Linked DNA regions of Saccharomyces cerevisiae S288C. The gene in region 1 interacts genetically with each later gene. Each region holds a gene or a part of one and is shown in the gene's direction. Other genes may lie near its edges.

Evidence for each region.
Region 2: mutations in TUS1 (region 1) and HSP150 are lethal when combined (synthetic lethality), as found in Saccharomyces cerevisiae (2 studies listed by BioGRID, with this or other methods).
Region 3: of TUS1 (region 1) and IQG1, extra expression of one rescues a mutant of the other (dosage rescue), as found in Saccharomyces cerevisiae (one study listed by BioGRID).
Region 4: of TUS1 (region 1) and YPK2, extra expression of one rescues a mutant of the other (dosage rescue), as found in Saccharomyces cerevisiae (one study listed by BioGRID).

What each region holds. Positions count from the first base shown.
Region 1 is NC_001144.5:980,891-987,364, forward strand, and holds TUS1 (Rho family guanine nucleotide exchange factor TUS1), read left to right. Parts: upstream 1-2,003; coding exon 2,004-5,927; downstream 5,928-6,474. Other genes in the region: TDA5 (Tda5p), read left to right, coding at 6,172-6,251, 6,323-6,474. UniProt on the Saccharomyces cerevisiae protein: Guanine nucleotide-exchange factor (GEF) for RHO1 that stimulates the exchange of RHO1 GDP-bound form into GTP-bound form. Required for signaling of cell wall defects to RHO1.
Region 2 is NC_001142.9:118,467-122,202, forward strand, and holds HSP150 (heat shock protein HSP150), read left to right. Parts: upstream 1-1,982; coding exon 1,983-3,224; downstream 3,225-3,736. Other genes in the region: PIR5 (beta-1,3-glucan linked protein), read right to left, coding at 1-359. UniProt on the Saccharomyces cerevisiae protein: Component of the outer cell wall layer. Required for stability of the cell wall and for optimal growth. Required for resistance against several antifungal and cell wall-perturbing agents and for tolerance to heat shock.
Region 3 is NC_001148.4:90,072-96,931, reverse strand, and holds IQG1 (Iqg1p), read left to right. Parts: upstream 1-1,822; coding exon 1,823-6,310; downstream 6,311-6,860. Other genes in the region: Hsp90 family chaperone HSP82, read left to right, coding at 1-436; GTPase-activating protein CIN2, read left to right, coding at 674-698, 779-1,560; signal recognition particle subunit SRP68, read right to left, coding at 6,616-6,860. UniProt on the Saccharomyces cerevisiae protein: Required for the assembly and the contraction of the actomyosin ring at the bud neck during cytokinesis.
Region 4 is NC_001145.3:472,884-477,410, reverse strand, and holds YPK2 (putative protein kinase YPK2), read left to right. Parts: upstream 1-1,957; coding exon 1,958-3,991; downstream 3,992-4,527. Other genes in the region: phosphoglucomutase PGM2, read left to right, coding at 1-1,514; YMR103C (uncharacterized protein), read left to right, coding at 4,147-4,509. UniProt on the Saccharomyces cerevisiae protein: Plays an essential role in the proliferation of yeast cells. Involved in a signaling pathway, required for optimal cell wall integrity, that acts in parallel with the PKC1-SLT2-dependent pathway.

The sequences.
Region 1 (6,474 bases):
TGATGTTAAAGTGTGTGGTGGTAAGACATTATTTCTCACCTTTGTCTTAGCTTGAGGTACTTCAGAGTGTTGATCCTGTGAATCGATTGGATCAGGTGAGGAAGTACTCAGCGGTGGGATATACTGTGGCAGCGGATAGTGTGGGTCCGGTTGATAATACGCAGGTGACGTTTGATAATGTGAACACGTCATCATAGATGGTTGTTGGTAATGTGCCCAGTTAGAAGCCATAGCTTTGTTTGGGGTCATCATGCCGTGCTGTTGGTACTGTCCATTCTGTGGAGGTGGTACTGAAGCAGGTTGAGGAGAGACATGATGATGGTTCTCTGGAACAGCTGATGTCCCAGGTGTTGTCTCTTCTTGAGAATTAACCTTAGTGGAATCTCTATCAAATTCCGGTAAATTGGAAGCTGAAACGGCTAACGGATCTTGATTTGATGGGACTTCCTTAGAAGTAACCGAAGCATAGGCGCTACCATGTAGAGAATGTGGATTTTGATGTAATTGTTGGGATTCCATTGTGATTAAGGCTATAATATTAGGTATGTAGATATACTAGAAGTTCTCCTCAAGGATTTAGGAATCCATAAAAGGGAATCTGCAATTCTACACAATTCTATAAATATTATTATCATCGTTTTATATGTTAATATTCATTGATCCTATTACATTATCAATCCTTGCGTTTCAGCTTCCACTAATTTAGATGACTATTTCTCATCATTTGCGTCATCTTCTAACACCGTATATGATAATATACTAGTAACGTAAATACTAGTTAGTAGATGATAGTTGATTTTTATTCCAACAGGTTCACACGAAGATTGAAAGTGTGGCCACGCTAATTTAGTTTATTAGGGAAATGCTCCTGGTCAGTTCTAATTCACCCAACGTAGCGCGGAATATTTTAAAGTTAATATAGTATTTCGATATGACAAGCACCTCTAAACAAAAGGTTATTTTCGCTTTTGTTCATTGAGCGTGTACTTCAAGCCTGATCCTGCTTTTTCTTCTGATTTGATCTGATTCGATTAAGCAAGCGGTACTACCCTAAAACCGCCATCTGTTGTAATATAGTAACGTCGCAATAAACCTGTCATATAATTAGCAGCTAATCCTTATATTCCATCTCCTCAATTTGTGATATTTATCGTATATAATTCCCATTTCAGACCGTCATTTAGTAGTAGGCATCTAACTATGGAACGGCTTTACCCGATCTTGGTATGTATGCCATAATGTACTACCGCTATCGATTTACCTTAACCCTAACGAGTGTCTCTAGCCAGTATTTTAAACTTCCATATCACAACTAATGTTGAAGATTGTATAATAAAAACATCAAGCTATTTAATAGATGCGATTAATCTCCTAATCGAAAACAGTTTGTTCGGTGTCCAAATACTGTTTTAGTGGACTATGATAAACGTTATAACAGCTATTTTGACTAAAACAACCGTAAATTTACACAGATAGGTGTTCACAGTAATTTTTTGGGGAGTTAGGTCGAAATCTTTTCCAAAACCAGTCATGCAAAGGAAATGCGTCAACTTTTGGGGACTTTTCCCCTACTCAAACACAGTTAGTCAACATTTAAAGGTTGTGTCTTTACTTAAGAGAAAATTAACTGAGCTTCGGTCATACATACGTAATTTCGCTGCTTCCAGTCGAGCAGTTGGTGCGCTATAATCATTTGATGTTTTTAGCTTACGGCTTCTTAAGATTTTCTATTGTTCATACTGACTCGTCGCATAGGCCGCAATATAAATCATTTAGAGAAAACGTTAACACATCGTTTAGGTAAACAACCCCTAGAGAGGATGATCAGTACGCAATATAACTGTTCAAAATCCATTTCTTGCATCAATATTTTATTCAACTATTATTTCTGGAGGTTTTAGTGGTTCTGTATACCCCCTCCAGCCACTGTTATGAACAATTAATTGATACTACTTCGAATATAAACATTAAAACAAAAAACTTATTGAGTGCAGCAAGTTAACATGTATCGATATAATAGAAGTTCCCCTTTTGAACGAACACCAGAAAAACGAGTAAGCCGTCAAGAAAGCCAACGAAAGAGCATCGAATTGCCCAAACTGCCACCATTGAATACGAGGAACTCCTTTTTGGATGATTCTGATAACGGAACAGATAATATCTCAATTGGCTGGACACCAATCAGTGACACCCAGCAATTCCAAAGCCCGGTCCCTCAGGCTTTTACCTTTACATCAAAACATAGTGCAAGGGGAAACGGTACTAGCTCTTCAGAATCCACACCCAAATCGACAAAGTACGTCAAAGAAAGACGACCACCACCACCGCCACCCCTTTTGTATTCCACTGAATCAATACGGATAGACTCACCCATGGTATCTCCCAGTTCTCAGTCCCGGGAAAGATCACCTAATAAACTATCCTTTATAGGAAACTCAGAGGAACGACATCACATGGAATACATATCTAACCATTCCAGGATCTTAAAATCACCATTTGCGAACGGATTTAGTCCAAATTCCCCTAAATCTCCAAGAGATAGTAGCAAACAGCAGGCTCACTTCTCTGATGAATCAGATCTACGGTGTCATGAAAGAGAAAAAGCTTTACCCCCAATTCCTTTCACTACTACTCTTCTGCTATCTCCTTTTGATGATGAAGACTCAGAATTTTTTACGAAACCACCACCGCCTCTATCAACATCTAGAAACGTAAGTGGGAATAGCCGAGTATCAGAAGCCCTAGAAAGTGTTTATTCTGACTCAGATTATACTTTTAATAACTCAAATGCCAGGCAAAGTAGTTTTAACTCTTTACTAGGAGCCAAGCCATTAGAATTAGCACCAAGCATTACTGCACCGACACAACCATTTTCAATTCAATCTATCGATGAGCACAAGCTTTATCAATGTGATAATGTTTACAAACTTTCTGCTATTTATGAGTGGATTTTGAAAGTTTATTTTGAATGGTTTAATGAATGTGTCTTCACGAAAATCGATCTTTTCCAAATTGTTCAATTACTTTTAGAGTTTCAAATGCCTACAAATTTCGATCAAGATACGATAGACTCAAATGTGGATAATATTATGGCTTCGTTTATTTCCCAGAAAGCAGTAAGATTCGATATCATTAACGATGAAGAGGTAGCCGTAGTTGTGGGAGGGCTGGATATTACTGGTGTTTTCACCGAACTACTACCGTGCTATTCATTCATCGATAATACTTATGGATCTACAAACTCCCTGATTTGTTATTCCAACGTTTGCACACATGGCCAAAGCTCTGGCTTCAGAAAAGAAATAAAACTTTCCGAAATCATAAATAAATCAGTTGGACTTTGGACAGAATACTGGCACTTGACTCCAGATGATTTAGCAGAAATTAATCCCCGTGAAGTACAAAGACAAAGCTTTATATTTGACTTAATTATTTTAGAAGAAAGATCCTTAAACATGGCTACTGCCGCGGTAGAAATCTATGGGAAACGGTTTGACAAATCCCTACTTCCAGATGAGCCTGAGTTCAAGGCATTGGCATTTGATATCTTCGAACCTCTAATACAATTACATACCGAATTTCTTTTGACGCCAATATTTTGGAAATTAAAAACGAGAGGTAAGTTTATTGATGGCGTTGGAAAAATCTATTCAAAATGGTGTGGTGAAGCCAAGAATATATATTTGAATTACGCGAAAGCTATGGCAACGGTACACGAAATCATAATGTGGGAGAAGAAAAACAAGACGAAATTTGTAACATGGCTTAAGGAGATTGATAACTCGGTTGAAATTACAAGATCGAAGATGTATCATGATGTTATATTCTTTGGGGGGTTTTTCAAATCTTTACAAAACATGCCCGTAACTCTGCGCTCAATTTTGAAGAACACGGATCCTTCCATGGAGGATTATGAATACCTGAAAATAGTAATTAAGGAAGTAGAAAAGTTGAACTTTGAAGTTAATCAGGTACATGGATTAGCAATTGACCATAGGAAACTAGTAAGGTTTTCGAAACAATTAGTATTAAGTACTAATAGTAGTAATGCAACAAGCTATGTGAACGTCGGTGGTAGTACTAACGCAAATGACGATGATGCAATTCAGGATAAACTAGCTCTTGGTTTAACTTATCCGGAAAGGAAGTTAGTACTATCTGGCACTGTTTATAAAAAGAGGGATTTATGGCTGGACCCAACCCCAGTGTATATCGCATTATTGGACAATTGCTTACTGATTACAGAGGAAATAAGTAAAGGAGAAACTCAAAAATATAAGCTTATTGAAAGACCTATCCCAATAGATTATTTAAGTCTCGAGAAAAGGAAAATTCCAGGAACAAGTAAACAGCCTCTGAGAAACTACTCTCAGAAAGAACATAAATCCCCAATGCATAATTTTTCGACACCGATTAACTCCATGAGACCTCTGCTTAAAAGTTCTGGAAATCACATGTCAACAGCGTATGGAGATAGAAAGACTAGTAATACTGAAATTTCTAACGCGAATCCAAACACAGACGAGTTCTCATTTAAGATCAGAAATACAGCCACAGGTGAATCGTTCAAATTTTTTACAGAAAGTGCAGAAGTACTCAACCAATGGATTGATGCTATCATGGAATCTTTTAAAAGAAATGCAGAAAATCATGATTTAAATGCCTTTGAATTTACAGTGTTGAGCTCTGAGTTCGCATACTTCGACAAGGATGCACCGGTGAATCTACCTGTAGCTCCGGAAGGATCAGAAATTGATGTAGCACTCAAAGCTTACGCTCAAAAAGCAAACAAAGATTCATGTTCATGGAGTAAGACAACACGGATTCTTTGTTGTGAAGATGTTAAATTCGAGGGCAGAATTTACCTATTTGTGGCTACAACAGACGGTATCTATGTGAAATATAGAGACGATTATGGTAGTGGTTTCGTTAAAATATTAGAATTAAACGACGTCAAAAGAATGGAAGCCAATGTTAAGTTGGGGCTCTTGTTTGTATTGGATAACAGAAAGTTGTGCTATTTTAATATCTCAACGGTAGTGAGCCGTTACCTAGCGCAAGGAAACACTCTAGATGAAAACTGCATTGTGGGAACAGTAATCAGAGATAAGGTGAGATTCTTCAAAATTGCTGATGATTTTGGTAACTCAAAACATTTATTTTTTGAAAGAAAGGGGAAGATAGTTATATTAACACCAGAATTTGATCAATTGACAAACCAAGTAAAATATTTCAAATTTTACAAAGAGTATAAGCTCCCAAGTTCAAGTAATAACATTCTGAATAACGAAATTGAGGATATTGCCATATTCAGGAAAAGTTTTGCTGTGTGTACAAAGAAAACAGTCATACTTTATCAAGATTCATTCGAGGATAACGGAATAGTCTTACCATCTTTTTTGAATGATAAAGATATGATGGCACACTTGAGGCATCCACATTTGAATAGCTTACCGTTCAAAAGTGCTACAGACTCCAAGAAACGCCCCTCCATAGAATCTCTCACTGAAGAAGCAAAAAAGGATATCGCCACTTGCAAAGCTATACCGGTCAATTTTTTTCAAATATCACAATCTAGTTTTTTTGCCTTGGTTTATGATGAAGCCGTAGTGAAAATAAACTGCTACGGTGAGATGTCTGATTGGAGAAAGGATATTCTCTTACTTGATTTTTGTTGTACCGGCGCGAGCTTCCATGGTAATCATTTGATTCTCGTTGGCGACAATTTGATACAGATTTACGACTTAAAAAATGTTGAGCAGAACCTAGGCGAATTGGTTCCCGTCCAGATCATAAAAGGAAAGAAGATAAAGCTGGCTAGTTCAGAAAGGAGAGAGAAAACAATTCTTGTGTTAAGTCATCCAAATATACTTAATAGACAATTATTAGTCGCGTGCAATCCTGTAGCAATGGCAGATCATCAATAATATAAGATATAGACACTTTTAATGGTAAATATCGTTGTAATAATATAAGCCAACAAGAATATAGTCCAGTAATTATGCTATTTGCAGTAACTCACATCATTATTCTCTCTGTTCATATAATCCTGAATAACAGGTTACCCTCGGAAGTGCATTTAGCCGTATAACAAGTAGCTCTTTAAAATCAGTAGAACAGATACATTAATATGTGATAATACGGCTGTGAGGAAAAGGTGAAGTTCTGGTGATGAATATAGACTGTTTGTGTCGTTGGGTAGTTCTGCCACTGCTGCGCTATCCACTTCTGGTAGCTCTTGTATTGAGATGGTATGTAAAGTAGAAAATAGGCATGAGGTTAGAAACAGCGTTTTTTATACTAACATGACGAACTAACCTAGGTCTCTAAGCGACTCGATAAGCATTTGTCTAACAATCTATACACTACTGATAAATGCATTCCTCATTGCTAATTCCTATATAAAGCGGTCGGGACAGGTCGCCTGGAAGAGCCTTCGTGAATTTAAGAATGGCATAGTTCTTATTACTGGAG
Region 2 (3,736 bases), on another chromosome or scaffold:
GCTGTAGTTATTTGTAATTGACCATCGCCTATTTGTGACACAATATGTGACACTACTGGAGGCACCTTCTGCGTTGTAACTTGTATTTGGCCGTCTCCAATTTGCGAAACTGGATGAGGTAATTTTTGTGTCGTTACTTGCACTTGACCGTCATTAATTTGTGAAATGACGTTTCTTTTGACCTTACTTTCAGTAACGGTGAAAGGTATAACAGCGAGACCGAATGAGGTCCGGTACTCTGTTGTGCCACCATCCATTTTAGAGCTTGGAGTTAAAGTTGCCCAGGGTTCAGGTGGAGCGTACGCAGTTAGCGCAATACTACTTAATAGAGATGCTAGAAATGCTTTCTTGTAATGCATATTGGGGCGGTGTTCACTTCTTCAGTAAGTTGTATAGAATTAAAAAATCGAGACTAAACAGAAATTTCGAAACAAGAAGATAAGTATATGTATACAAGTTATTTTACTCTTTTAACTGTTTTCGTTTCCCCACTCTTTCGCAAAAAGAATAATTTTGTGAGTCAAAACAGTCGAATTTTCTTGCACAAAAAGTCGATATTCTTTTGTGACTCTGTGTAACTTACTTTCTACAGCTTTTGTTACTCCACTTCTCTTATATATACCCAATGATTCACTCGTAATATATCAGAGGAACGTTAGAATTTCTGTATTTTCTCAGGAATCCTACAAAATTAGAGGTGAAATTGATCAGGTTAAGGAGCAGAAGCCCACTATATAAGTAAGATGATATCAAGCCTAGTTGGATGCCTTCAGGAACGGCAAATAGGATATGTGAGCTTGGCAAAGGGGTTTTGATAGAGTAACAATAGATCCTTGCTAGCCAATGCGACGTTCCTCTGTAGTTTTTACCACAGTTTTACTTAATTTCGTGCTTTGTCCCTTTTTGGCAAAAAAGTCGGATAATGTCTTCACTATATTTGTGTTTTCGTCTTTTAGGAAAAGCGTACTTTAGTAAACTACAAATTTGAGCTGAGCTAATTTCGGATTAGTAAAAGATGCAAGGAACAGTAAAAATTAAAATAGCGATTGACCGAAATCAGTCCAAAAATTACTACAACAAGCAAATCCAATTAAAAACAGTAAAATACTTTAAGTGCATTTACCGTTACGAACAACATATGTCCTAGTTAGTATAGTAGTCTACTAAGTAGCAAAAAAGTAGAAACTCTGTCACTATACCAGCCATCAGTTCATAGTAAAACAGTAAAAATTGTAAAAACAAGCAAAAAAAAAACAAGAAGGAACAAATGCACCAAACTGTTGATCTATTCTGCAAAAAAAAGTATGGTAAATTTTTTCCATTATCCTGGCCGCTAATCCATATGGAGGTGAACTTAGAACTTGCACAAGGATGCGATGAATGATAGGCTTTGTGCTATAATTAATGCAGGCAGGTCCGCCATGTCCAACACGTTGCTGGCCGCAAAACGAGTCAATCTCACTGCTTTGCCACGCTCATTTCTCCCCCCTTCTGCCCAATTAGGCGACCCTCACAATGCACATACACATTTCCCACCTCTATTGGAAGGGGCCGTAAATGGTAATTCTTGGGAGTTATTCATATTAAGTGATCTTACTATTTCCTATTTCGGAAATTATTAAAGACAAAAAAGCTCATTAATGGCTTTCCGTCTGTAGTGATAAGTCGCCAACTCAGCCTAATTTTTCATTTCTTTACCAGATCAGGAAAACTAATAGTACAAATGAGTGTTTTCTCAAGCGGAACACCACATTTTGAGCTAAATTTAGATTTTGGTCAAAATAAGAAAGATCCTAAAAAAGGAATGGTTGGTGAAAAATTTATTAGCTTGAATGGTAGGAATCCTCGAGATATAAAAGGAACACTTGAAGTCTAACGACAATCAATTTCGATTATGTCCTTCCTTTTACCTCAAAGCTCAAAAAAATATCAATAAGAAACTCATATTCCTTTTCTAACCCTAGTACAATAATAATAATATAATGCAATACAAAAAGACTTTGGTTGCCTCTGCTTTGGCCGCTACTACATTGGCCGCCTATGCTCCATCTGAGCCTTGGTCCACTTTGACTCCAACAGCCACTTACAGCGGTGGTGTTACCGACTACGCTTCCACCTTCGGTATTGCCGTTCAACCAATCTCCACTACATCCAGCGCATCATCTGCAGCCACCACAGCCTCATCTAAGGCCAAGAGAGCTGCTTCCCAAATTGGTGATGGTCAAGTCCAAGCTGCTACCACTACTGCTTCTGTCTCTACCAAGAGTACCGCTGCCGCCGTTTCTCAGATCGGTGATGGTCAAATCCAAGCTACTACTAAGACTACCGCTGCTGCTGTCTCTCAAATTGGTGATGGTCAAATTCAAGCTACCACCAAGACTACCTCTGCTAAGACTACCGCCGCTGCCGTTTCTCAAATCAGTGATGGTCAAATCCAAGCTACCACCACTACTTTAGCCCCAAAGAGCACCGCTGCTGCCGTTTCTCAAATCGGTGATGGTCAAGTTCAAGCTACCACCACTACTTTAGCCCCAAAGAGCACCGCTGCTGCCGTTTCTCAAATCGGTGATGGTCAAGTTCAAGCTACTACTAAGACTACCGCTGCTGCTGTCTCTCAAATTGGTGATGGTCAAGTTCAAGCTACCACCAAGACTACTGCTGCCGCCGTTTCTCAAATCGGTGATGGTCAAGTTCAAGCTACTACCAAGACTACCGCTGCTGCTGTCTCTCAAATCGGTGATGGTCAAGTTCAAGCAACTACCAAAACCACTGCCGCAGCTGTTTCCCAAATTACTGACGGTCAAGTTCAAGCCACTACAAAAACCACTCAAGCAGCCAGCCAAGTAAGCGATGGCCAAGTCCAAGCTACTACTGCTACTTCCGCTTCTGCAGCCGCTACCTCCACTGACCCAGTCGATGCTGTCTCCTGTAAGACTTCTGGTACCTTAGAAATGAACTTAAAGGGCGGTATCTTAACTGACGGTAAGGGTAGAATTGGTTCTATTGTTGCTAACAGACAATTCCAATTTGACGGTCCACCACCACAAGCTGGTGCCATCTACGCTGCTGGTTGGTCTATAACTCCAGACGGTAACTTGGCTATTGGTGACAATGATGTCTTCTACCAATGTTTGTCCGGTACTTTCTACAACTTGTACGACGAACACATTGGTAGTCAATGTACTCCAGTCCACTTGGAAGCTATCGATTTGATAGACTGTTAAGCAGAAAACTATTAGTTCTTTTATCCTGATGACTTTTTCTCATTTGCATTGATTAGAAAGGAAAAAAAGAAGTGTCCTTTTCTACTACTACTCTAGTCGCATCCATTCCTTTGCATTTATCTTTTCTGCGGTTGGCCAATCCATTCTTCCGAGAATTTGGCTAGCCATACTTGATGTTTTCCCATTATTGGTTCGTTTGGCAATGCTAATTTTCTTAATTGCCCCTTATATACTCTTCCATAAAATGTTTTTTTTATAACTAATTTTCTGTATATCATTATCTAATAATCTTATAAAATGTTAAAAAGACTTGGAAAGCAACGAGTGATCGTGACCACATAATTGCCTCGCTACACGGCAAAAATAAGCCAGTCCTAATGTGTATATTAAAGGCTGCATGTGGCTACGTCTATTAAAAAAAAAATATTTATCTAAATAAAAGAAACCTTCTTTTAGAGAACCTTAAAAATGTAATATACAAATCATTCATACCAAAATCTTTTTACAAATCA
Region 3 (6,860 bases), on another chromosome or scaffold:
TGTTGTTTCTTACAAATTGTTGGATGCCCCAGCTGCTATCAGAACTGGTCAATTTGGTTGGTCTGCTAACATGGAAAGAATCATGAAGGCTCAAGCCTTGAGAGACTCTTCCATGTCCTCCTACATGTCTTCCAAGAAGACTTTCGAAATTTCTCCAAAATCTCCAATTATCAAGGAATTGAAAAAGAGAGTTGACGAAGGTGGTGCTCAAGACAAGACTGTCAAGGACTTGACTAAGTTATTATATGAAACTGCTTTGTTGACTTCCGGCTTCAGTTTGGACGAACCAACTTCCTTTGCATCAAGAATTAACAGATTGATCTCTTTGGGTTTGAACATTGATGAGGATGAAGAAACAGAGACTGCTCCAGAAGCATCCACCGCAGCTCCGGTTGAAGAGGTTCCAGCTGACACCGAAATGGAAGAGGTAGATTAGGTAGAACATCATGGCCTTGAATAGGTTATAAACAAAACATAATATAACGTATAGGTATTCGAATGAATAAATAAGTATGTAAATAGGGCATCTGCATGGAAATAACTGGGTAAAACATTACAATGTATTTTTTTAGAGTTTTCACTATTCCGACGCGTCTAGTGTGTCATACAAAACGCGAAGAATCTGAAATCGTGAAATATACTTAAGAATATAACTGAAATAGCTTAAGCATAAATGGACTTTACTGCGAAGATAAAGGGTATGTTGAAACTCATCTGCTTTCATTATGCGTCCAACTAATTAACATTGCATATTTTCGTATACTATTTTTTTGTGTAGAGCTCGAACGAGAACTCTCAGAGACGAGTGACTATAAGACCTTGCAGAAGAAGACCATAAGTCTTCGAAGTGAGCTGAATACTCTGTCACATTCTTTGACATCTTATGAAAAAGAACACTTCTCCAATGATATAGAAAATGTATTAAAATCTATTAATGCAAAATTATCTGAGTCAAAGGGCAAAAAACGACTATTCTCCTTCAAACAGAAAAATTCATCATCAGCCGTTCATAAGAATGTTGAACGTACGGAGCTTGCGAATGCGCCGGCGTATACCACTACTTTGAAAAAGCATTATGTCTTGGAGAAGGGTGATTCAGCTTTTGAAAATTTAGAGTTTTGTACTGTTACATCAACAACAGATTATAGTGGCAATAGTGCCCTTTCTGGTTCTTTGTGCTTTCGCAATATTACTAAATGTGTCATAAACTTACAAAGGATTTTCTTTCAAACAGGGAGTATTTTCATAACTGATTGTACGGATTCTATAATTTTTCTACGGTCTCCTTCCGACAAGGATTTCCAAATCCGTTTACGTGACTTGAAAAATTGCAAAATTTTGATAGAGAAACTCTCGCCAAGTATCGATTGCAAACAAGTGGTAATCATAGAAAATTGTCACAAATGCATTTTCAACGCAAGCACTCGGGACCACCTAATTATACAAGATTTCTCTAACCCCTTCCAAAGCGAAGAAACTGAGGACAATTCTGCCTTTGCATTTGAAGATTTTGATATTTGTAACAAGGATACAATGCAGTTGTTTCGCGCTTACTTATAGCGCTTTATATTGAGCTACGCATCGCTAAAATTGTTTATTTCGTATATAGTGATTTAAGCATGCCATTAATAGCATATCCTAAAAGAGGAAAGTGTAAACATTACAAATTCTTCCATCTTGAAATTAAGAAACCCTGTTATTGACATCAGAAAACAACAGCTTTTTATTGAAAATAAGAAAGTAGTTGGCCAAAACATAGATTATTTTTTTGAAAAACTTATTGCACCAGTTCAATTATATGTAACAAGGTGGTGCAAAAACAATGACAGCATATTCAGGCTCTCCTTCGAAACCAGGCAATAATAATTCTTATCTAAATCGTTATGTTGAAAACCTAGGCACCAATGTGACTCCACCTCTGAGACCGCAGTCAAGTTCCAAAATCAACTCTTCGTTAAACATAGCGTCGCCAAGTCATTTAAAGACTAAGACGTCAGCTAGCAACAGTTCTGCGACAATTTTGTCAAAAAAAGTAGAAAGTTCCGTATCAAAGCTGAAGCCATCCCTTCCTAACAAACTCGTAGGAAAATATACCGTAGACTTAAGTAATTATTCGAAAATAGAACTGAGGTACTATGAGTTTTTATGCAGAGTATCAGAAGTCAAAATATGGATTGAAGCTGTTATTGAGGAAGCACTACCATCAGAAATAGAGTTATGTGTTGGAGACTCACTTAGGAATGGTGTTTTTTTGGCCAAGCTAACCCAGAGGATAAATCCAGATTTGACAACGGTTATATTTCCTGCAGGTGATAAACTACAATTTAAACACACTCAGAACATTAATGCCTTTTTTGGTTTGGTAGAACATGTCGGTGTTCCGGACTCTTTTAGATTTGAATTGCAAGATCTCTATAACAAGAAGAATATCCCTCAGGTTTTCGAAACCCTGCATATTCTTATATCAATGATTAATAAGAAATGGCCAGGCAAAACGCCCGCTTTAACAAATGTATCGGGCCAAATAAGTTTTACCAAAGAAGAAATCGCAGCTTGTAAAAAAGCATGGCCTAGAATTAGAGACTTCAAGTCCTTAGGAACTAATATCAATACTGCACCAGCTTCCCCTGAGGAACCAAAAGAAAAAAGAAGCGGATTGATAAAAGACTTTAATAAATTTGAAAGGCCGAATATACCGGTGGAAGAAATTTTAATTACCCCAAGAAAGAATATAACAGATGCTAATTGCTCCGATTTTTCTAATACACCTTCACCTTATAATGAAGCTCCAAAAATGTCAAATTTGGATGTCGTTGTTGAGAAGAGGAAATTCACACCCATTGAGCCGAGTCTTCTGGGCCCTACACCATCTTTAGAATATAGCCCAATAAAAAACAAAAGTCTGTCGTACTATTCTCCTACCATCTCGAAATACTTGACATATGATACAGAATTTTATACGAGAAGGAGTCGTGCAAGAGAGGAAGATTTGAATTATTACCAGACGTTCAAATACTCACCTTCTCATTATTCTCCCATGAGAAGAGAAAGGATGACAGAGGAACAATTTTTAGAGAAGGTAGTTCAACTGCAAAATATTTGTCGAGGAGTTAATACCCGTTTTAACCTATACATTCAAAAAAGGTTACTGAACCTTTTTGAACAGGACATACTAAGGTTTCAAGCATGCCTAAGAGGAAATAAATTTAGAGTATTGTCATCAATGTATTTGCCAATAAGAAGAGCAAAGATTGACGTTCCTCATGTCGAGGCGATTCAATCGCGAATTAAGGGAAGCAGAATTCGATATAAATACGATAAATTGAAATTTACACTCTCAAGGTTTTCGTGTACTGTCGAACTTTTGCAAGCATATTGTCGTTCAAAATTGTTGAAGACAACCGTTAACACAAAATTAAATGATATTGAGATATCACATTATCCTCTGACAAAATTGCAGTCTTATATGCGTGCTTCTTATGTGAGAAAGAAGGTGATGTCCCTCAATACAAAGTTGAACGATGAGCGAGAAAGTATTATGAAGTTTTCGGCAATCATCAGAGGTAACGTTGTGAGGTGTTCAGAGGACGCGATATTAAGTGCTGTACATGATGTACATAAGGAAAATATCTCAAAATTGCAAAGCTTGATTAGAGGAATATTTACGCGTTCGTGCCTAGCATCAATAATATATTCACTTGGAAAAGAAAACTGTAATATTATTCAATTATCAGCCTGTATACGCGGAAACGCTGTAAGACATAAGGTACAGTCACTGTTTGCGCCCGAAAATAATCTCAGTGAAACTGTGCACGACCTCCAGGGTTTGGTTAGAGGTATTCTAGTCCGCTACACATTAGACTTAGTCGATGACATTGTGGAGTATAATAATTTAGCATTATTTCAAGCATTTTCTAGAGGCGCTTTAGTACGTGAAAGCTTGGACCAAAAGTCGAGTTTTTACAAGAGAAACGTAAGGTCGGTTATTATGATTCAAAGCTGGATTAGGAAAAGTCTGCAAAGATCGGCATATTTGGAACTTCTAGACTGTCCAAATCCAAGTCTTTGGGCTGTCAAAAAATTCGTTCATTTGCTCAATGGAACAGCAACCATTGAAGAGGTCCAAAACCAGTTGGAGAGTTGCCAAGCCTCTCTTGATTCCGAAAATATGAAGAAGGAACGATTACTGAAGAGCATAAGACAACAACTAAATATTAACGGAGTATTGGATAAGTTTGGACTATTAAAAGATAAAGATCATGAACTCGGTATTTCCGATTCTACGATTCCGAAGTCTAAATATCAAAAGTATGAAAAACTGTTCTATATGTTGCAAGTTGATCCCTCTTATTGGAAATTGCTGTATTTGAAAGAGCCAGAATTTGTTGCAAAGAATGTTTATATGACATTTGGAACAGTGAATCAAAGGATGAACGACAGAGAGAGATCCTATTTCACAAGGTTTGTTTGTGAAATGTTACAAAATGCGATTAATGAAGCACCGAGTATTGAAAGCTTTCTTGACAACCGATCACAATTTTGGCAAACCATTCTTCAAGATTTTTTGAGAAGAGAGTCTCCAGAATTCTTCTCTATAATAGTCCCAGTTTTGGATTACTTGTCAGATCCAGTAGTGGATTTTGAAAGTGATCCATACAAAATTTATCAAGAAATACACGGCTTTAGCTCTCCTCAGCATTGTTCGCCTGTGGATGATGCGAGTACCAAGAATAAGTTCATTGACAATTTAAGGTGCCTATGGCACGCGATTGAAATGGTCGCTGAAATTTATACCAGAAAGGTTCACACTATTCCCGTTGAAATCAGGTACCTCTGCACTAAAATCTTCTGCTACGCGGCAGATAAGAATATTGAGGAGATTGACTCTTTAAGGGCCATATCAAGTATTCTAGTGAACGTTTTTGTGTCTGAATATTTGGTCAACCGGGAATATTACGGATACAAAGACAGCAACGTTCAAAAAAATAACCAAAAAATTGACATTCTAATGAAATCCTTGGCGACTGTTTTTGAAATCAAAAATTTTGATGGCTTTTTGGATCCATTGAACCAGTACGCTAACGAAATAAAGCCTCATATCAAAGATGTCCTTTATAATGTGTTAGTAGATCCAGAGTATGAACAAGAGGGAGATAGATTGATTTATTTGGATATGGTATCGCCAAGCCCCAAATTGGAATTGTTAACTGAAAAGGTTCTGGAAATCAGTGGTAAATTTGAAGAGTATTTAAATGAATTTCCGGAAGCAGATATTTTGCATGATATTTTGGAAAAGAACTTGGACAATTCATCCTTTCCAAGATCAGGACGTGTTACCTTGGAATTGGATGCATCTGCATATCGATTCCTCGTTAGTGATGACAAGATGAGAAAAATCTACGACCAAGTTAAAAGGGCATTTGTGTACATGATGCAAATTGAGGATGTAGATACCAATTTGTATGACCTTTCAATTAGTACAATTCTACCTCAAGATGAACCAAATTTTGCAAATTTTCTGGAGCAAAATCCTAAAATCAGGGATGATCCAATGATACAGAAGCTGAAACCATTGAAATACTTCACACTCAAAAATGTTACTTTGAAAAAAATACATGAACTAGAAAGTACGGGGACTTTTTGCTCTTCTGATAATAAGTTACAAAATTTCTTAAACGATATTGCGAACACTATTAAAAATCCCAACTATGCCATTGATTATGTAACCCAGGAAATTTACATCACAAAGGAAACACTCACAAAAATTTCGGAAATGAACCACAGCTTAGATATAGAATTATCAAGGCTTAAAAAACATGTTGATCATACGATAAAAGACTTCCAGAAAGCCAAGGATTTTTCGCCGGTGCACAAAAGTAAATTTGGAAATTTTAAGAATGCAGTAAAAAAAGTTCAAGGAAGAGAACGTTCTGAATTGCAGGGAATGAAGTTTAAATGGAACACAAAGCAGTTGTATGAAAGAGGAGTGCTTAAAACCATCAGGGGTGAAAAACTAGCTGAACTGACTGTAAAAGTCTTTGGTTCGAGCGGTCCTAAATTCCCAGATATAATATTCAAAATTTCCACATCGGATGGTTCTAGATTCGGTATTCAAATGATTGACAAAAGAAAAGGGCCCGATAAACGATACTCGGATGATGTCGATTCTTTCTCATTTAAAGACTTGATAAAGACTCAAGTTGAACCAAAAATCGAGACGTGGAAATTATTCCATTCCAACGTTGTTGTTAACAATAGCCAATTACTACATTTGATTGTCAGTTTTTTCTATAAAAGGAACGCTTTGTAATAGATAACTCGGTTTTGAGCATATTGGGCAAAAGCTGTTACTAAATTTTCCCATTCTTTCTATTTTTATCTTTGTTTTTATTTTCCTTATTTTCAGCAGCAAAAATAATTTAACGTATAGTTATGTAAAGGACCCTAAACATCTTCTTTTTAGCATGTGCTGTAATTTGGCGATATCTTCAGTAGATAAAAATAAGATGTGTTAAGTAATGCACTTCGTTATTTGGCTACTATAGTTGGCAATCATCATTTGTTTAAATGGAATAATCTATATAGTACTATAAATACAGTCATACTAGAAAAATATTAACGACCAAATAGGCCCAAGAAACCACGCTTCTTTTTAGGCTCTCCTTCCGTCTGCTCATTAGAAATTGGTGTTTGAGAGATGCTCTCGGTTTCTGTGACTGAATCTTTCACTTGAGAAGCTGAGGGCTCTTGCTTATCATATGTTATGTAGTTGAAGGCCAAATCAAAAAGTGTTGGTTTACTAGGAATGGGCAGCATTTTTGGCTTGAGAGGGAATAAATTTTTCAATTGTATGTCCGTTG
Region 4 (4,527 bases), on another chromosome or scaffold:
ACAATGATGTCATTCTTCATAAGATTGCCGCTATCGGTGCTGCCAACGGTATTAAAAAGTTAGTTATTGGCCAGCATGGTCTTCTGTCTACGCCAGCCGCTTCTCACATCATGAGAACCTACGAGGAAAAATGTACTGGTGGTATTATCTTAACCGCCTCACATAATCCAGGTGGTCCAGAAAATGACATGGGTATTAAGTATAACTTATCCAATGGGGGTCCTGCTCCTGAATCCGTCACAAATGCTATTTGGGAGATTTCCAAAAAGCTTACCAGCTATAAGATTATCAAAGACTTCCCAGAACTAGACTTGGGTACGATAGGCAAGAACAAGAAATACGGTCCATTACTCGTTGACATTATCGATATTACAAAAGATTATGTCAACTTCTTGAAGGAAATCTTCGATTTCGACTTAATCAAGAAATTCATCGATAATCAACGTTCTACTAAGAATTGGAAGTTACTGTTTGACAGTATGAACGGTGTAACTGGACCATACGGTAAGGCTATTTTCGTTGATGAATTTGGTTTACCGGCGGATGAGGTTTTACAAAACTGGCATCCTTCTCCGGATTTTGGTGGTATGCATCCAGATCCAAACTTAACTTATGCCAGTTCGTTAGTGAAAAGAGTAGATCGTGAAAAGATTGAGTTTGGTGCTGCATCCGATGGTGATGGTGATAGAAATATGATTTACGGTTACGGCCCATCTTTCGTTTCTCCAGGTGACTCCGTCGCAATTATTGCCGAATATGCAGCTGAAATCCCATATTTCGCCAAGCAAGGTATATATGGTCTGGCCCGTTCATTCCCTACCTCAGGAGCCATAGACCGTGTTGCCAAGGCCCATGGTCTAAACTGTTATGAGGTCCCAACTGGCTGGAAATTTTTCTGTGCTTTGTTCGACGCTAAAAAATTATCTATTTGTGGTGAAGAATCGTTTGGTACTGGTTCCAACCACGTAAGGGAAAAGGACGGTGTTTGGGCCATTATGGCGTGGTTGAACATCTTGGCCATTTACAACAAGCATCATCCGGAGAACGAAGCTTCTATTAAGACGATACAGAATGAATTCTGGGCAAAGTACGGCCGTACTTTCTTCACTCGTTATGATTTTGAAAAAGTTGAAACAGAAAAAGCTAACAAGATTGTCGATCAATTGAGAGCATATGTTACCAAATCGGGTGTTGTTAATTCCGCCTTCCCAGCCGATGAGTCTCTTAAGGTCACCGATTGTGGTGATTTTTCATACACAGATTTGGACGGTTCTGTTTCTGACCATCAAGGTTTATATGTCAAGCTTTCCAATGGTGCAAGATTCGTTCTAAGATTGTCAGGTACAGGTTCTTCAGGTGCTACCATTAGATTGTACATTGAAAAATACTGCGATGATAAATCACAATACCAAAAGACAGCTGAAGAATACTTGAAGCCAATTATTAACTCGGTCATCAAGTTCTTGAACTTTAAACAAGTTTTAGGAACTGAAGAACCAACGGTTCGTACTTAAAACGAATGATTTACTAATGGCTTAATGATTTTCACCTTTTTCAATGAATATTAACGGTAAAGAAGAAAATTTCAATTTTTTGAACACATACTTTATATACTTAATAGATCCATATTTCGACATATTAGCAAACGATTGCATAGGTTTCTGAGTCTTTTTTTTTTTTTTTTCATAAGGAGGAGAATATTTTGGTTAATCGCAGTATCTTCTTCATAAGTGCTGTTTCTAATTATATCTAATTCACGAATTTTTCCCAAATTAGCGTATCCCCGAATTCAGATTACCTACCCCGAGTTTTTTATTATATTTCCCTCGAGAAATCTGTAAAATGGCCGTCATCCTTAGATTTATAAATAAAATGATAAAATTCAGCCAAAGTGCTCCTAAACCAGAATTGTTCAACTGGGTCAAATTATCGCGTATACAAATATACATATAGTAACATGCATTCCTGGCGAATATCCAAGTTTAAGTTAGGAAGGTCCAAAGAAGATGATGGGAGTAGTGAAGATGAAAATGAAAAATCGTGGGGTAATGGCCTGTTTCATTTCCACCATGGAGAAAAACATCACGATGGTAGCCCGAAGAATCATAATCATGAACACGAACACCATATAAGAAAGATCAATACAAATGAGACTCTCCCAAGTTCCTTAAGTTCTCCAAAATTACGTAATGATGCATCCTTCAAGAATCCATCGGGGATAGGAAATGACAATTCTAAGGCTTCCGAAAGGAAAGCTAGTCAGTCGTCTACTGAGACGCAGGGACCGAGTTCGGAATCCGGACTAATGACAGTGAAGGTGTATTCTGGTAAAGATTTTACTCTTCCCTTCCCTATCACCTCTAACTCTACTATTTTACAAAAACTACTAAGTTCCGGCATCCTTACTTCATCATCCAATGACGCTTCCGAAGTTGCAGCCATAATGCGGCAGCTACCACGATACAAGAGAGTGGATCAAGATTCAGCAGGGGAAGGCTTGATAGATAGAGCTTTTGCCACTAAATTCATTCCTTCCTCTATATTGTTACCTGGGTCAACAAATTCAAGCCCATTACTTTATTTTACAATTGAATTTGATAATTCTATTACTACTATTAGTCCAGATATGGGAACGATGGAGCAACCAGTGTTTAACAAAATATCGACATTTGATGTAACAAGAAAATTACGATTTTTAAAAATCGATGTCTTTGCAAGGATTCCATCCCTACTTTTACCCTCTAAAAACTGGCAACAGGAGATTGGCGAGCAGGACGAAGTACTGAAGGAGATTTTAAAAAAAATCAATACAAATCAGGATATCCATTTGGACTCCTTCCATTTACCTTTGAATTTAAAAATCGATTCTGCAGCCCAAATAAGACTATACAATCACCATTGGATTTCTTTAGAAAGGGGATATGGTAAATTAAATATCACGGTGGACTACAAACCTTCTAAGAACAAGCCTCTCTCCATTGATGACTTTGATCTATTGAAGGTTATCGGGAAGGGTTCGTTCGGCAAAGTGATGCAAGTAAGGAAAAAAGATACCCAAAAGATTTACGCTTTGAAGGCTCTGAGAAAAGCATATATTGTATCGAAATGTGAAGTGACACATACTTTAGCGGAGAGGACTGTCCTAGCAAGAGTTGACTGCCCCTTTATTGTTCCGTTGAAGTTCTCATTCCAATCTCCGGAGAAGTTGTACCTAGTATTAGCTTTCATTAATGGCGGTGAACTGTTCTACCATTTACAACACGAGGGACGATTCAGTCTAGCACGCTCCCGTTTTTATATTGCAGAACTATTATGTGCTCTCGATTCATTACACAAACTTGACGTCATTTATCGTGACCTAAAGCCTGAAAACATTCTATTGGATTACCAAGGACATATTGCACTGTGTGATTTTGGGCTTTGCAAGCTGAACATGAAGGATAATGACAAAACAGACACTTTCTGTGGTACTCCCGAATATTTGGCACCAGAAATCTTGTTGGGGCAGGGCTATACTAAAACAGTTGACTGGTGGACATTAGGTATCTTACTGTATGAGATGATGACAGGGCTGCCACCATACTATGATGAGAACGTTCCTGTTATGTACAAGAAAATTCTGCAGCAACCGCTACTATTTCCTGATGGATTTGACCCTGCGGCAAAAGACCTATTAATTGGCCTCTTAAGCAGAGACCCAAGCAGAAGACTCGGCGTTAACGGTACAGATGAAATTCGTAACCATCCTTTCTTTAAAGACATCTCATGGAAAAAGCTACTTTTGAAGGGCTATATTCCGCCTTACAAGCCAATTGTAAAGAGTGAAATAGATACTGCAAATTTTGATCAAGAGTTCACTAAGGAAAAACCGATCGATAGTGTAGTGGACGAGTACTTAAGTGCAAGTATTCAAAAGCAGTTTGGTGGGTGGACGTACATTGGTGACGAACAGTTGGGTGATTCTCCTTCGCAGGGGAGAAGCATTAGTTAGAAGCAAGCCGAAGCAAGCCGAGCCGAGCCGGACGGAATTTATAGCTATAGCCGCAAGAGGTTGCAATTTTCAAAAATGGATAGTTCAAGTAGATTGCGATACGCACTCCGTTACTATTGTGGTTAACGGGGACAAGAAGAACTACAGAAAATAGAATGGTCCGCAGAGGCTGCGCTCTTCTTTTAGCAACTCTCACACGACTTATGTTGCTTATTCATTTCTTTTACAGCATTATCAGAATTCTTCCATCTACGGAATTGAGATCAAAGACCGACCTGTTGTCGGCCGAAGGACGGACGCTTATACCCGCGGATGTCAAAGCGAAGCCCGCGGGGCGCAAGTCGAGGTTACCGGAATTCGCCAAACGGCAAAGGACCCTTGCATTGCCTGAAAGGAAAGATTCGCTTTTCTGTTTGTTGCCACTTTTCTTACATAGTCTGGGCCGGGAGCAGCTTATTTCTTCCGCGGATGATCCTGGATTTCCTTGCGCGGGCTCAGCCATGGGGAGCCTTACCTAGTCCCGTAAAGGGAAAAAG